2 linked regions of the Anolis sagrei genome follow. The protein of the gene in region 1 interacts with the protein of each later gene in a pairwise test. Links are inferred from orthologs where the notes say so. Each region holds a gene or a part of one and is shown on either strand. Other genes may lie near its edges. The genes, in order: DCP1A and EDC3.

Evidence for each region.
Region 2: the proteins of DCP1A (region 1) and EDC3 interact in binary tests that used the Homo sapiens proteins (3 or more experiments, as listed by UniProt). The two-hybrid records come from large-scale screens. The link is inferred for Anolis sagrei from reciprocal best matches to the Homo sapiens genes DCP1A and EDC3.

The regions. Positions count from the first base shown.
Region 1 is NC_090022.1:60,979,301-60,986,623, forward strand, and holds the start of DCP1A (mRNA-decapping enzyme 1A), read left to right. Parts: upstream 1-4,228; 5' UTR 4,229-4,275; coding exon 4,276-4,410; intron 4,411-7,323. UniProt on the Homo sapiens protein: Necessary for the degradation of mRNAs, both in normal mRNA turnover and in nonsense-mediated mRNA decay. Removes the 7-methyl guanine cap structure from mRNA molecules, yielding a 5'-phosphorylated mRNA fragment and 7m-GDP.
Region 2 is NC_090029.1:21,437,493-21,445,205, forward strand, and holds the start of EDC3 (enhancer of mRNA-decapping protein 3), read left to right. Parts: upstream 1-4,569; 5' UTR 4,570-4,607; coding exon 4,608-4,671; intron 4,672-7,713. UniProt on the Homo sapiens protein: Binds single-stranded RNA. Involved in the process of mRNA degradation and in the positive regulation of mRNA decapping. May play a role in spermiogenesis and oogenesis.

The sequences.
Region 1 (7,323 bases):
GATCATTGTTTCTAGGAGATAATCCATAAATTATTAATCTTTTGAATGTTCTTGAGCAATGTAAGGAGGGCTACTTTTGACCTATTTCAACCTTTCCCATTGCTGTTGTGAGAAGAACAGAAGGATTAAAATTAGCGATCCACGGCATCTGTCCTTTTAGGATCACTGCTGTGGTTTACAGCCTTTTCTTTCTTTCTTTCTTTCTTTTTTTTTACAATGAGCATTTCCTATCTATTCGCTTCACCTTAAATGGGTGAAAGAAAGTTAAATTCATAACTATAGGGAACACTCCAGTAGAGTAAATGTTTCTTTTATGCTGTTATACTTGTACTTCATTAGATTACATGGTTTCAATTATTCATAGTTCCTTTAATGCTTCCTTTTCCATATAATTTCCTAAAGGATTTCACCAGCTTCGGAAGAAAGAACAAACAGCCTATCGATTTGCATTAGTCTCCCTGTTCTGCCTGAGAGGCCTGGAGGTATCTACACTTAAAAGACAAAATAGCAGAAAGAACACGCTTCTGTCTCCCCCAATCTGGTGCTCTCCAAGTGCTTTAATTTAAATTTCCCAAAAGCCTCAGAGAGCATAGGCATTGGTCAAAGGTGATGGGAGATGCAATTCAACAATTCAAAAGGCTACCAAGCTGGGAAAGGCTAGTATAACTACATAAAACAGTTGTTCTATATCATAAACAGGTTTCATAAGTTATTACACACATTTTGTTCAGTGTAAATAGGGTGTGATTGCTATCGGATCTGTGAAAAAAGAACTTCTAAAATAAAGCATGGCTCCCATGCCTGCAGGACTTGTCCACCTCCAACAAAATATATCCTTTCTAGAAATTCTGTGGTGTGCTTATACCAGAAGTTATTAAGGTAAAGGTTTCCCTTGACATTGAGTCTAGTTGTATCTGATTCTAGGGGGCGGTGCTCATCTCTGAAAAGCCAGCATTGTCTGTAGATACCTCCTAGGCATGTGGCCAGCATGACTACATGGAGCGCTGTTACCTTGCTGCCGAAGCGATACCTATTGATCTACTTGCATTTGCATGTTTTCGAACTGCTAGGTTGGCAGAAGCTGGGCCTAACAATGGGAGCTTACCTTGCTCTCTGGATTCGAACTGCTGACCTTTCAGTCAGCAAGTTCAGCAGCTCAGCGGTTTAACCCGCTGTGCCACCAAGGGACCCTCCAGATGTAATTACATAATGGTATTGGACGATCTAGCAAATTCCTAGAGGATACCTCTTTAGACATTTTCGAGGTCCTCAAGGGAGGTTCTATACTAGTAAGAAGTTATTTATTTCAATAGGGTTAGCTATTATCCATGGTTTCCTGTTTCCCCTGCAAATTTTAGGAACACATTCCTCACTGATACAGGAGTTGTATTGTATTACAAAGCAGAATGATTCTTACATTAAATTCTTGAACTAATATAATTAGTTCTGCTTGCAATGTGCTTTTATATTACATTATACTACATAATGCAATTATAATGTCATTATATTGTATATTAGAAATGTTATTAGGCTGGATATTTTTTGTTGCTTAAACAGATTTAAAATATAATAATATATATGCTTATAATATTATTTTTATTGTAAAACAATGTCTATATTATAATGTAATGTTTCTTTAGAATAAGCCCATATATTTGGGATTAGGACCCAGGGTTTAAGAAACAATGCTCTAAACCAGTTCTACTTCAGAGTGGCAGTGCCAGGACCAAAGGTGGTCCCAGAGCCATTGGTTGCTGGTGTCTGCCAAGTTTCCAGGGAAAAAAAGGAAACATTTGGACTCAATACACACAATGTTTATCCATCTTTTATACTACATACATAGAAATTAAGTATTTTATCCCAATGTCATGAAATTTGGTATGTTATCAAATGAGACAAAAAGTCCACGGTAAGGTTTTGGATCTCATCTGTCAACTGCTTTGGATACCTCCCAAGCAAACATTACTGTTTAATTAAGTGATAACTCTCTCTATCCAAAGAGTGCTTTTTTGTGAAGTGGTTCCCCAGTGCCTTATTAAGAGCACTGCACTGGGCACCACTCCATCACCATATATTTAGTATAGTCTGTGCCCGCCCAGTCATTCATATTTCTTTCCATAAGAGATTACTGGAAAAGGTACCCACCATATAAGAATATCAGCTAATGATACAGAATCGGGGTGGGGAGGCATGGGGTAACCCATTTAAGAACATACACTCTACTCAAATTCAAAATTCATATTAGAGAACTGAAGAAGAAAATACTCTATCAGAGGCAGGAATTCGGCAGCTTTGACCACATGAAGCTCAAGAAGGCTTAGATTTATTTCTCATTGTTCCTCAACATTTTGGAAAACTCTGCCGCCAGTGATGAGAATATCACCTCCAAGGTCACAAAAACAGTGTCATTTGGTCTCCAGGGTCCTGGAGAAGCTGCAGATGCAGTTCATACAGCAACCTATATTGCAAATGCAGTACATACAAATAAGTAAGGGTTGGGGTGAAGGGAGAAGAAACTGACTGACTTCATGGTGTTGACAAATGTTTTAACTGCTTTTAACCAAATGATTTATTTATTGTTTTAAACTATTGCTATATTGTTGTTTGTTTGTATTTATGGCATCGAATTGTTGCCAATGTAAGCCATCCTGAGTCCCCCTTCGGGGACTGTGTGTATATGTGTGTTTGGGTATATATGTGGTTTTGCGCGTGCGTTGTAATATATTTTTTGTGGAGGCTTTTTTTTTGCTTTTGAAGTCTCTTCTGCTGTGTTTTTCAGTGTTTTTATGAGTGATGGTCACTCGTTGGCCTGATGTTATGTTTTTGTAATACAGGCATCGAATTGTGCCTTGTTTGTGTAAGCCGCCCTGAGTCCCCCCGGGTGAGAAGGGCGGGGTATAAGCAACCGTAATAATAATAATAATAATAATAATAATAATAGGTGTATTGTGTCCAAATCTGGTGTCAATTCACCCAGTGGTTTGTGTGCTGTCGCCTGGGCCTGTGCATCAGACTGTAGACAGGACATAAATTCTGTGTGCCCAACGGGATGCCGGGGCTGCCTCAGATTAAAGGCCTTTGGATTTTCTTAAAACAGAGTCTTTAGATTGCTTAAAGGTTCAACCAAGTTCTTTATTAATGAAAACAAACAGGTACTTTAAGGCTTTCTTAACAGTCTATTGGCTCTCTCTCAATCTTGTCCACAGGGAACAGGCACTATATTCATAACTGTAACTAATGGGGAAATCCTTAACTTCTAATCTGGGCAGTCTATCTTTGCCTCTGTTGGCGTGGAGCCCCTGCACCCGGTACCAACTGCTTCTGGCTTCCGCAAGTGACCCTTACCAAGCAGAGCTTTGTAGACTTCCAGGGGAAAAGAACTCAGGTTTCCGTGATGGCTAACTGAAGTCCTTCAGCAAAGGAACTGTAGGGCTGTATAACCCCGGCCAAGCTGTGAGCTGTATATCTCCCCGGCCAAGCCGTAGAAGACGAAGCTTTCTACAGGAGCTCTTGGTATTATGTCCTACATGGAAGGCTTCTCTGTGTGGACTGACCCAAAACTGGCTCCTATTCCCTCCCAAAAACCCAAAAGGGGGCGGGACCAGGGAACCTAACTATAATTGACAGGTGGCTTGCCCTATGATTGCAGCCAAAAGAAGCCACCTATCTGCAGAGTCCCTGAAACTTAGGACTACAGCAAACATTCAGTGCAAAGCAAACAAAATTGGAGCTCCTGGTACAGCTGTACCAGCAGAGTTTGTGGGATTATGTTAATCCCACAATGTGCAAACATACATGCACATATGACACACAACCCCAAAAACGTTAAAATTAAACCTCCTTTATGTGTATGTGTGTGTGTGCAATCATACCTGGGCATATATGACCCACAACTCCAGAAACCTCTTTGACATTAAACCTCATTGGGTCCCAATTTTTACAGAAAACTCCATCACGTGCCACCCCAAACACTGAAGAGCCGGAAATGTATTTCTAGGTGAAACAGTTTCCGTCGCGGCAATCGTTAAATAGCAGTCAGAGCTGCGGAAATACATTCATTTGGGTTTCTTTCCCGGCGTTGCCCATTCCCTTCTGGAATTAGTTCAGTTGAGAGAAACACCAAGGACGGGTTAGAGAGGCGCAGCAGAGTGGAACGCAAAGCCGGGCGAAGGCGGTTTCCGACCGGCGGCTAGAGAGGGACGGACCAGTGCGGGTGACGCTCCCTGGGCCTCCCCTCCTTCCCTTCCCCGCCGCGGCCGAGGTCCCGGATCCAAGATGGCGTCTCTGAGTCAAGCGGGGCAGGAGATGAGCCTGGCGGCCTTAAAGCAGCACGACCCCTACATCACCAGCATCGCCGACGTGACCGGCCAGGTGGCCCTCTACCGCTTCAGCCCCAAGGACAACGAGTGGGTGAGTCCACGGGGCCCCGCTCGCTGGGAGGGAAGGAGAAGGGCCCCGGCCCCTTTGGCGGCCATTCGCAGAAACACGCCCACCTTTCGGAGTTCCCACAGAAGCTGCTGCTGCTGCTCTTAGCGCAGGCCTGGGCCAACTTGGGCCTTCCAAGTGTTTTGGACTCCAACTCCCACCATAAGCGGCTGAGGGGGAAAAGGAAAGGGCCTGAGGCTGTTAGGAATGGTGGGAGTTGGAGTCCAAAACACCTAGAAGGCCCAAGTTGGCCCAGGCCTGCGCTAGTAGCTCCTGTTTGCTCCTTGTCTTGTGAGTTTTATATTCACCTTCTATTTCTATTGTATGTTTATCACTCTTGCACCGTGAATTGTAATACAGATATTTTGTGGCCGTGTTTTTCAATGTAAATATTTTAGGGTATTATTATTATTGAATCATAGAGTTGGAAGAGACTTCGTGGGCCATCCAATCCAGCCCCCTGACAAGAAGCAGGACAATTGCGTTCAAAGCACCCCCGACAGATGGCCATCCAGCCTCTGTTTAAAGGCCTCCATAGAAGGAGCCTCCACCACACTCCGGGGCAGAGAGGTCCCCCCCTGAACAGCTCTCACAGTCAGGAAGTTCATCCCAATGTTCAGGTGGAATCTCCTTTCTTGTAGTTTGATTTATATTTATTTAGGTTAAAGGTTTTCCCCTGACATTAAGTCCAGTCATGTCCAACACATCTCCATTTCTAAGCCAAACAACCACCGTTGTTCGTAGACACTTCCAAGGTCATGTGGCTGGCATGACTGGAAGATGCGCCACTACCTTACCACTGGAGCAGTACTTATTTATCTTCTCACATTCACATGTTTTCAAACTGTTAGGTTGGTGGAAGCTGGGGCGAACAGCAAGGTGCTCACGCCGCTCTCCAGATTTGAACCTGCAATATATTTATTTATACCCCACTTTATCTCCCCAAAGGGGACTCAAGGCAGCTTGACCTAAAAACATTAATATACCATTTAAAATAAACAAGATTGCAAGCATTCAATAGAATTAAACATCAGCAGCATTTGAAAAAAATCGCAGTTAAAATCCATCAAAACAGTTCAAAAGCACAGAACCCCCTGACTAGTTCTTGGACACCTTCATCTTTAAAAGTCTGTTTATTTATATCCTGCTTTTTTCTCTCCATACGGAGACTCAAAGTGGCTCACAACTAAAAGCGTTAAAATATACACGTATTAAAACAGGATTAAACATCATTTAAAACATATAAAATCACAGTGGTCCCTGATAATCTTTAAAACCTTCTTCTTTAAATGCCTGCCTGAATAAAAAGGTTTTAGCATGCCACCTGAAGGGTAGCAGGAGGGGGCCATTCTTGCTTCCCTGGGCAGGGAGTTTCAGAGTCGCAGGGCAGCTACCGAGAAGGAAGGCCCACTCTCTCATTCCCAATAACTTAACTTGAGATGGCGGTAGGACCAAGAGAAGGACTTCGCCCGGGTAGGCTCATACAAGTGGATGTGGTTGACCAAATAGCCTGGACTTGAACTGTCTAGGGCAGTCGTTCCACACCTTTTTTTTTTTCGACCAGCGACCATGCACCAACATTAGTACCAGAAGGGTTATGAATCCGTTTTTGGTCAATATTACATCTGGTTTGGTTATTTGGGATGCTTATTCAGAAAATTGCATTGGATGGATCACATCAACTCTAGTTTCTGATACAGAACATATGCCATCCAGTAGTCACCATCTGCTCACCCACAGAAAACCATATTTAATAAGCCTCAGCACTATAAGAGAGTTTTCCAAGACCAGTCACTCTTGTTGCAATGGTGTAGTAACAGTGAGGCTGTGAACCATAGTTTAGTTCTTTCAGACCACTGGTGGTCCACAGGCCACAGGTTGGGAATCACATGTCTAAGACTTTAAAGGTCATAACCAGCACTTCGAATTCTATCTGGTAACAGACTGGCAGCCAGTGGAGCTGTTTAAACAATAGGATTGTCTGCTTCCTGTAGCTAGCCCCAGTGAACAACATGTCTGCAGCTCTGTGGACCAGATGAAGTTTCTGAGCCCTCTTCAGAGGCAGCCCCACGTAGAGTGCATTACAGTAATCCAGACGATGTATGTATTTTATAGTAGTGTGTTTTAGCTGTGTTGTACCTGCTTTCAGCCATGAGGAGAGGTGGCTATCAAATAAAAATATTATTATCATCATTATTATTATCTTTCCCCTGAGATCCAATAGGTGTACAGTAGATCAGGGCTTCTTATACTTTTTCTTCCTGCAACCCTTTTCCACTTGAGAAATTTTTACATGATCCTGGGTATATAGGTACATTAAATAGGTATAAAAATCACACATTTACTGGTAATAAATCAACATTTGCAAGACTTGCTAAATAGGCTGATTTGTTTTCTGGAGTGTTTTCTGGGAAGTAAACACTTCATGTTGTTCCTAACTGATTTGTGTAAATAGATAGTGTTCAGAAACCTTTTACTGTTGCAATTTTTTTTGTTGCACCCAACATTGAACCAAGAAGAGACCACAGTTTTAGAAGGAGTGCAAGAGAGCTTAGGTTTGGTTCTAGGACCCCAACAGAAGTATCTGTTTAGGTTTGGTTCCAGGACCCCCCATAGAAGTGTGATGCTATGTGTTACAACTCCCCACAAAAGAAACAAATACTATCTCCTGCTCTTTGGATACCTTTCGTTACAAAGGAAGATTTAATAGTGTGCTATAACCTCTGCATGCAAAAATGTTTGCTCTAAAGTACAGAGAAAAACAAGAAGCAATGTAATAGTCAAGCAGAAGATTATTAGTGTTTCCAGGTAGATTTCATAGACTTTTTACATCCTTAGGATACAGCTATCTCTTCTTTCTGTTCATCATGTTAGGACCAACTCAGAAGGTGGTGTCCC
Region 2 (7,713 bases), on another chromosome or scaffold:
ATTGTAATATTATTAGTAATTTTACATGTAATATAAAATATAATAATGTATTATTATTATATTGTATTGTATTGTATAATAAATAGTATATGTATATACAATATATTATATTATTAGTAAAGCACTTTAATATAATTATAATTAATAATTATTAGTATTATATTGTATTACATTATAATATTATAAATATTATATGTATACACAATATATTATATATTATTATTAATAATGCACTTTAATATAATTATAATTAGTAATTATTAGTATTATATTGTATTACATTATCATATTATAAAATATGTATATACAATATATTACATTATTAGTAAAGCACTTTAATATAATTATAATTAGTAATTATTAGTATTATATTGTATTACATTATATTATAAAATTATATGTATATACAATATATTACATTATTAGTAAAGCACTTTAATATAATTATAATTAGTAATTATTAGTATTATATTGTATTACATTATATTATAAATATTATATGCATATCCAGTATATTATATTATTAGTAAAGCACTTTAATATAATTATAATTAATAATTATTAATATTATATTGTATTACATTATAATATTATAAACATTATATGTATATACAATATATTACATTATTAGTAAAGCACTTTAATATAATTATAATATATAATATAACTAATATTAGTACTGTATTGTATTACATTATAATATTATAAATATTATATATATATATATATATATAATATTTATAATATTATAATGTAATACAATACAGTACTAATATTAGTTATATTATATATTATAATTATATTAAAGTGCTTTACTAATAATGTAATATATTGTATATACATATAATGTTTATAATATTATAATGTAATACAATATAATATTAATAATTATTAATTATAATTATATTAAAGTGCTTTAATATTATATATATATATATATATATCTCCAGCAAAGGATCACCGCCTTGTCGGGGCGCTGGAGCTTGAGCACCTCAATGATGTCATGAGTGAAACCGTGAAGGGCCACCCAAGACGGGACGGTCGTGGCAGAGAGGTCAGACCAAGCGTGATCCCTGGGGAAGGCAACGGCAAACCACCCCAGTATCCTTGCCAAGAAAACTAAATGGACCAGTACAACCAGAGATATGTCGGTATGCCATTGGAAGATGGGACTCCCAGGTCGGAAGATGGCCAAAATGCTACTGGGGAGGAGCAGAGGATAAGTTCAAGTAGCCCCAGATGTGATGACGCAGCTAGCTCAAAGCCGAAAGGAAGGCTAGCGGCCGACGGTACTGGAGGTGAACGACGAATCCGATGCTCTAAAGATCAACACACCATAGGAACCTGGAATGTAAGATCTATGAGCCAGGGCAAATTGGATGTTGTTATTGGTGAGATGTCAAGACTAAAGATAGACATTCTGGGGGTCAGCGAACTGAAATGGACTGGAATGGGCCACTTCACATCAGATGACCACCAGATCTACTACTGCGGACAAGAGGAACATCGAAGAAATGGAGTAGCCTTCATAATTAATAAGAAATTCGCTAAAGCGGTGCTTGGATACAACCCAAAAAATGACAGAATGATCTCAATTCGAGTGCAAGGAAAGCCTTTCAACATCACAGTGATCCAAATATACGCCCCAACCACAGCTGCTGAAGAAGCAGAAGTAGATCAGTTCTATGAGGATCTGCAGGAACTACTGGATAATACACCAAAAAGAGACATTATTTTCATTACAGGAGACTGGAATGCCAAGGTGGGAAGTCAAATGACAACAGGGATCACAGGCAAGCATGGTCTGGGAGAACAAAATGAAGCGGGACGCAGGTTGATAGAATTTTGCCAGGAAAACTCGCTGTGTATAACAAATACTCTCTTCCAACAACCTAAAAGACGGCTTTATACATGGACCTCACCAGATGGTCAACACCGAAATCAGATTGACTACATCCTTTGCAGTCAAAGGTGGCGGACATCCATCCAGTCGGTGAAAACAAGACCTGGGGCTGACTGTAGCTCAGATCACGAACTTCTTATTGCCCAATTTAGAATAAAACTAAAGAGTTCAGGGAAAATACACAGACCAGTTAGATATGATCTCACTAACATTCCTAGCGAATATACAGTGGAAGTGAAGAACAGATTTGAAGGACTAGATTTAGTAAACAGAGTCCCAGAAGAACTATGGACAGAAGTCCGCAACATTGTTCAGGAGGCAGCAACAAAGTACGTTCCAAAGAAAAAGAAAACCAAGAAGGCAAAATGGTTGTCTGCTGAGACACTGGAAGTAGCCCAAGAAAGGAGGAAAGCAAAAGGAAACAGTGAAAAGGGGAGATATGCCCAGTTAAATGCGCAATTCCAGAGGTTAGCCAGAAGAGATAAGGAACTATTTTTAAATAAGCAGTGCATGGAAGTGGAAGAAGACAACAGAATAGGAAGGACAAGAGACCTCTTCCAGAAAATTAGAAACATTGGAGGTAAATTTCAGGCAAAAATTGGTATGATAAGAAACAAAGATGGCAGGGACCTAACAGAAGCTGAAGAGATCAAGAGAAGGTGGCGAGACTATACAGAAGATCTGTATAGGAAGGATAACAATATCGAGGATAGCTTTGACGGTGTGGTGAATGAATTAGAACCAGACATCCTGAGGAGTGAGGTTGAATGGGCCTTAAGAAGCATTGCTAACAACAAGGCAGCAGGAGACGACGGGATCCCAGCTGAACTGTTTAAAATCTTAAAAGATGATGCTGTCAAGGTGATGCATGCCATTTGCCAGCAAATATGGAAAACACAAGAATGGCCATCAGACTGGAAAAAATCAACTTATATCCCCATACCAAAAAAGGGAAATGCGAAAGACTGCTCAAACTTCCGTACAGTGGCCCTTATTTCTCATGCCAGTAAGGTAATGCTCAAGATCCTGCAAGGAAGACTCCAGCAATACATGGAGCGAGAGTTGCCAGATGTTCAAGCTGGGTTTAGAAAAGGCAGAGGAACCAGAGACCAGATTGCCAATATCCGCTGGATAATGGAGAAAGGCAGGGAGTTTCAGAAAAACATCTACTTCTGCTTCATTGACTATTCTAAAGCCTTTGACTGTGTGGATCATAATAAATTGTGGCAAGTTCTTAGTGGGATGGGCATACCAAGCCACCTTGTCTCTCTCCTGAGGAATCTGTACAAGGACCAAGTAGCAACAGTCAGAACTGACCACGGAACAACAGACTGGTTCAAGATTGGGAAAGGCGTACGGCAAGGCTGCATCCTCTCACCCAACCTTTTTAACTTGTATGCAGAACACATCATGCGATGTGCGGGGCTGGATGAATGCAAAGCTGGGGTGAAAATTGCTGGAAGAAACATTAACAACCTCAGATATGCAGATGACACCACTCTGATGGCCGAAAGCGAGGAGGAGCTGAGGAGCCTTCTAATCAAGGTGAAAGAAGAAAGCGCAAAAGCCGGGTTGCAGCTAAACGTCAAAAAAACCAAGATTATGGCAACAAGAATGATTGACAACTGGAAAATAGAGGGAGAAACCGTGGAGGCCGTGACAGACTTTGTATTTCTAGGTGCAAAGATTACTGCAGATGCAGACTGTAGCCAGGAAATCAGAAGACGCTTACTTCTTGGGAGGAGAGCAATGTTCAGTCTCGATAAAATAGTGAAGAGTAGAGACATCAGACTGGCAACAAAGATCCGCCTAGTCAAAGCCATGGTATTCCCTGTAGTAACCTACGGATGTGAGAGCTGGACCTTAGGGAAGGCTGAGCGAAGGAAGATCGATGCTTTTGAGCTGTGGTGTTGGAGGAAAGTGCTGAGAGTCCCTTGGACTGCGAGAAGATCCAACCAGTCCATCCTCCAGGAAATCAAGCCCGACTGCTCACTGGAGGGAAAGATACTAGAGACAAAGTTGAAGTACTTTGGCCACATCATGAGGAGACAGGAAAGCCTAGAGAAGACAATGATGCTGGGGAAAGTGGAAGGCAAAAGGAAGAGGGGCCGACCAAGGGCAAGATGGATGGATGGCATCCTTGAAGTGACTGGACTGACCTTGAGGGAGCTGGGGGTGGTAACGGCCGACAGGGAGATCTGGCGTAGGCTGGTCCATGAGGTCACGAAGAGTCGGAGACGACTGAACGAATGAACAACAACAACAACAATATATATATATACACACACACAATCTATTATATTGTATTATTAGTAAAGCACTATAATATAATTATAATTAGTAATTAATAACTGGTAATCATGATCGATCATGATGATTGGCCCTCGACTCCGGAACTTTTCAAGGTGTTTCAGATCAATTCAGGAGTTGCTGTGGTTGTAGAGAGACTATTACTCCTCTAACACCAAGAAGGAAGCGTTGAACTCCAACCCCCATGATGCCACACCATGGGTCGCAACGGCTGGGGCTGATGGGAGTTGTAGTCCAATAGTCAGCCGCTTCCAGGGGCCGAGCAGGCTTTCTGCGCATGCGTGCTGCGAGTGGCACCTTCGCCTCTGGAGAAGGAAAGGCGTGCCGTGTCCTTTCTGCGCCTGCGTGAGCGCTGAGAGAAGGAGAAGCGGAAGTGACGCAGAAGAGCGGGGCAATGGCTTGTCGCTTCCGGTGTGAAGACGCTGTGAGGAAAAGCGGAGGGAGAAGCGAGTCAGTGAGTGAGTGAGCCGCTTTTGGGCCTGCTCGGCGCCTTATCCCCGGCCTAGAGTAGGGAGCAGGCCGAGGGAGGGCTTGGGGGCCTTCTCTTCCCTTCTGGGAGCCTTTGGGGCGGGGAGGAGGCCTCCCTTCCCCCGGGAAGGACCGCCCGGGGTCTCCTCGGCCTCGCCCCAGCCGGACCAGGCCTTTCGTTGTGAAAGGAAGGAGATTGAGTGACCTCCCCTGCCTCCCCCATTTAGCCAAAAGTTTGCAAACTTTTGGCTAAATGGGGGAGGCAATATATATTATTTTATTTATTTATTTCTCGTGTCAGAGCAGCCAGTCTATTATATTACATTTCTAACAGAACAAAGCAAACAAACAGAAAAATACACAACTTGTGAGTTTGGTAGTTGGTTAAATGTCCTTGGACCAGTATCTGGTCACTTGGAGTGCTTCTGGTGTTGCCACAAGAAGGTCCTCCATTGTGCATGTGGCAGGGCTCAGGTTGCATTGCAGCAGGTGGTCAGTGGTTTGCTCCTCTCTGCACTCGCATGTCGAGGATTCCACTTTGTAGCCCCATTTCTTAAGGTTGGCTCTGCATCTCGTGGTGCCAGAGCGCGGTCTGTTCAATGCCTTCCAAGTCGCCCAGTCTTCTGTGTGCCCGGGGGGGGGGGGGGGGTCTCTCATTTGGTATCAGCAATTGGTTGAAGTGCTGGGTTTGAGCCTGCCACTTTTGGACTCTCGATTGCTGAGGTGTTCCAGCGAGTGTCTCTGTAGATCTAAGAAAACTATGTCTAGATTTAAGTCGTTGGCGTGCTGGCTGATACCCAAACAAGGGATGAGCTGGAGATGTCTCTGCCTTGGTCCTTTCACTATTGGCTGCTACTTCCCGGCAGATGTCAGGTGGTGCAATACCGGCTAAGCAGTGCAATTTCTCCAGGGGTGTGGGGCGCAGACACCCCTTGATAATGTGGCATGTCTCATTAAGAGCCACATCCACTGTTTTAGCGTGGTGAGATGTGTTCCACACTGGGTATGCATACTCAGCAGCAGAGTAGCACAGCGCAAGACCAGCATGCAAGCAAGCAATATATAATATAATAATGTAATATTACAATCTTATAAATGTATTATATATAATAATAATAATAATAATAATAATAATGAACTACGGACAATGCAAACTTTTGGCTAAATGGGGGAGGCAATATATAATATAATAATGTAATATTACAATCTTATAAATGTATTATATATATATATATATATAATGAACTACGAACAATGCAAACTTTTGGCTAAATGGGAGAGGCAATATATAATATAATAAAGTAATATTACAATCTTATAAATGTATTTTATATTTATATATATATATAATGAACTACGGACAATGCAAACTTTTGGCTAAATGGGGGAGGCAATATATAATATAATAATGTAATATTACAATCTTATAAATGTATTATATATATATATATAAGACATTTATAAGAATGTAATATTACATTATTATATTATATATTTATAATGATATAAAATATTATTATATTAGTATTATATATTTATAATAATATAATATATTATTATATTGTTGTTGTTCATTCGTTCAGTCGTCTCCGACTCTTCGTGACCTCACGGACAAGCCCACGCCAGAGCTCCCTGTCGGCTGTCACCACCCCCAGCTCCTTCAAGGTCAGTCCAGTCTCTTCAAGGATGCCATCCATCCATCTTGCCCTTGGTCGGCCCCTCTTTCTTTTTCCTTCCACTTTCCCCAGCATCATTGTCTTCTCTAGGCTTTGCTGTCTCCTCATGATGTGGCCAAAGTACTTCAGCTTTGTCTCTAGTATCCTTCCCTCCAATGAGCAGTCTGGCTTTATTTCCTGGAGGATGGACTAGTTGGATCTTCTCGCAGTCCAAGGCACTCTCAGAACTTTCCTCCAACACCACAGTTCAAAAGCATCAATCTTCCTTCGCTCAGCCTTCCCTAAGGTCCAGCTCTCACATCCATAGGTTACTACAGGGAATACCATGGCTTTGACTAGGCGGATCTTTGTTGCCAGTCTGATGTCTCTACTCTTTACTATTTTATCGAGACTGGACATTGCTCTCCTCCCAAGAAGTAAGCGTCTTCTGATTTCCTGGCCACAGTCTGCATCTGCAGTCATCTTTGCACCTAGAAATACAAAGTCTGTCACGGCCTCCACATTTTCTCCCTCTATTTTCCAGTTGTCAATCATTCTTGTTGCCATGATCTTGGTTTTTTTTACGTTTAGCTGCAACCCAGCTTTTGCGCTTTCTTCTTTCACCTTGATTAGAAGGCTCCTCAGCTCCTCATCGCTTTCGGCCATCAGAGTGGTGTCATCTGCATATCTGAGGTTGTTAATGTTTCTTCCAGCAATTTTCACTCCAGCTTTGCATTCATCAAGCCCCGCACACCGCATGATATTATATTAGTATTATATATTTATAATAATTATAATATTATTATAAGGCTCTGGCATCAACCTGTCCAGGTGGTCCCAGTAGTCATTGGCTCATTGGGTGCCGTGCCCAAAGATCTCAGCCGGCATTTGGAAACAATAAACATTGCCAAAATCATGATCTGTCGACTGCTACTTACTTAGGTGATCCCTCGTAGTCTGAGGATGATGGTCCTCCAAGATCGGTGTCCTGGCGTTGTGTCCATAGGTGACTGTGGAGACTATTCTTGACCTGCATCTTCTCCCGCAGTGAGGGCATTGGTTTCCAGGTGGAAGGCAGTCCCGGTCGGGGTTGGCTTGACATGACTTCCTCTTGGCACGTTTCCCTCCTTCGCCCTCCATTCGTGCCTCTTCAGATTCTCCAGCACTGCTGGTCACATCTGACCTCCAGCTGAACCGCTCAAGGGCCAGGGCTTCCCAGTTCTCAGTGTCTATGCCAGGTTGGCTTTGAGCCCGTATTTCAATCTCTTTTCCTGCCCGCCAGCATTCCGTTTTCCGTTCTTGAGTTCGGAGTAGAGCAACTGCTTTGGGAGACGGTGGTCAGGCATCCGGACAACGTGGCCGGTCCAGCGGAGTTGA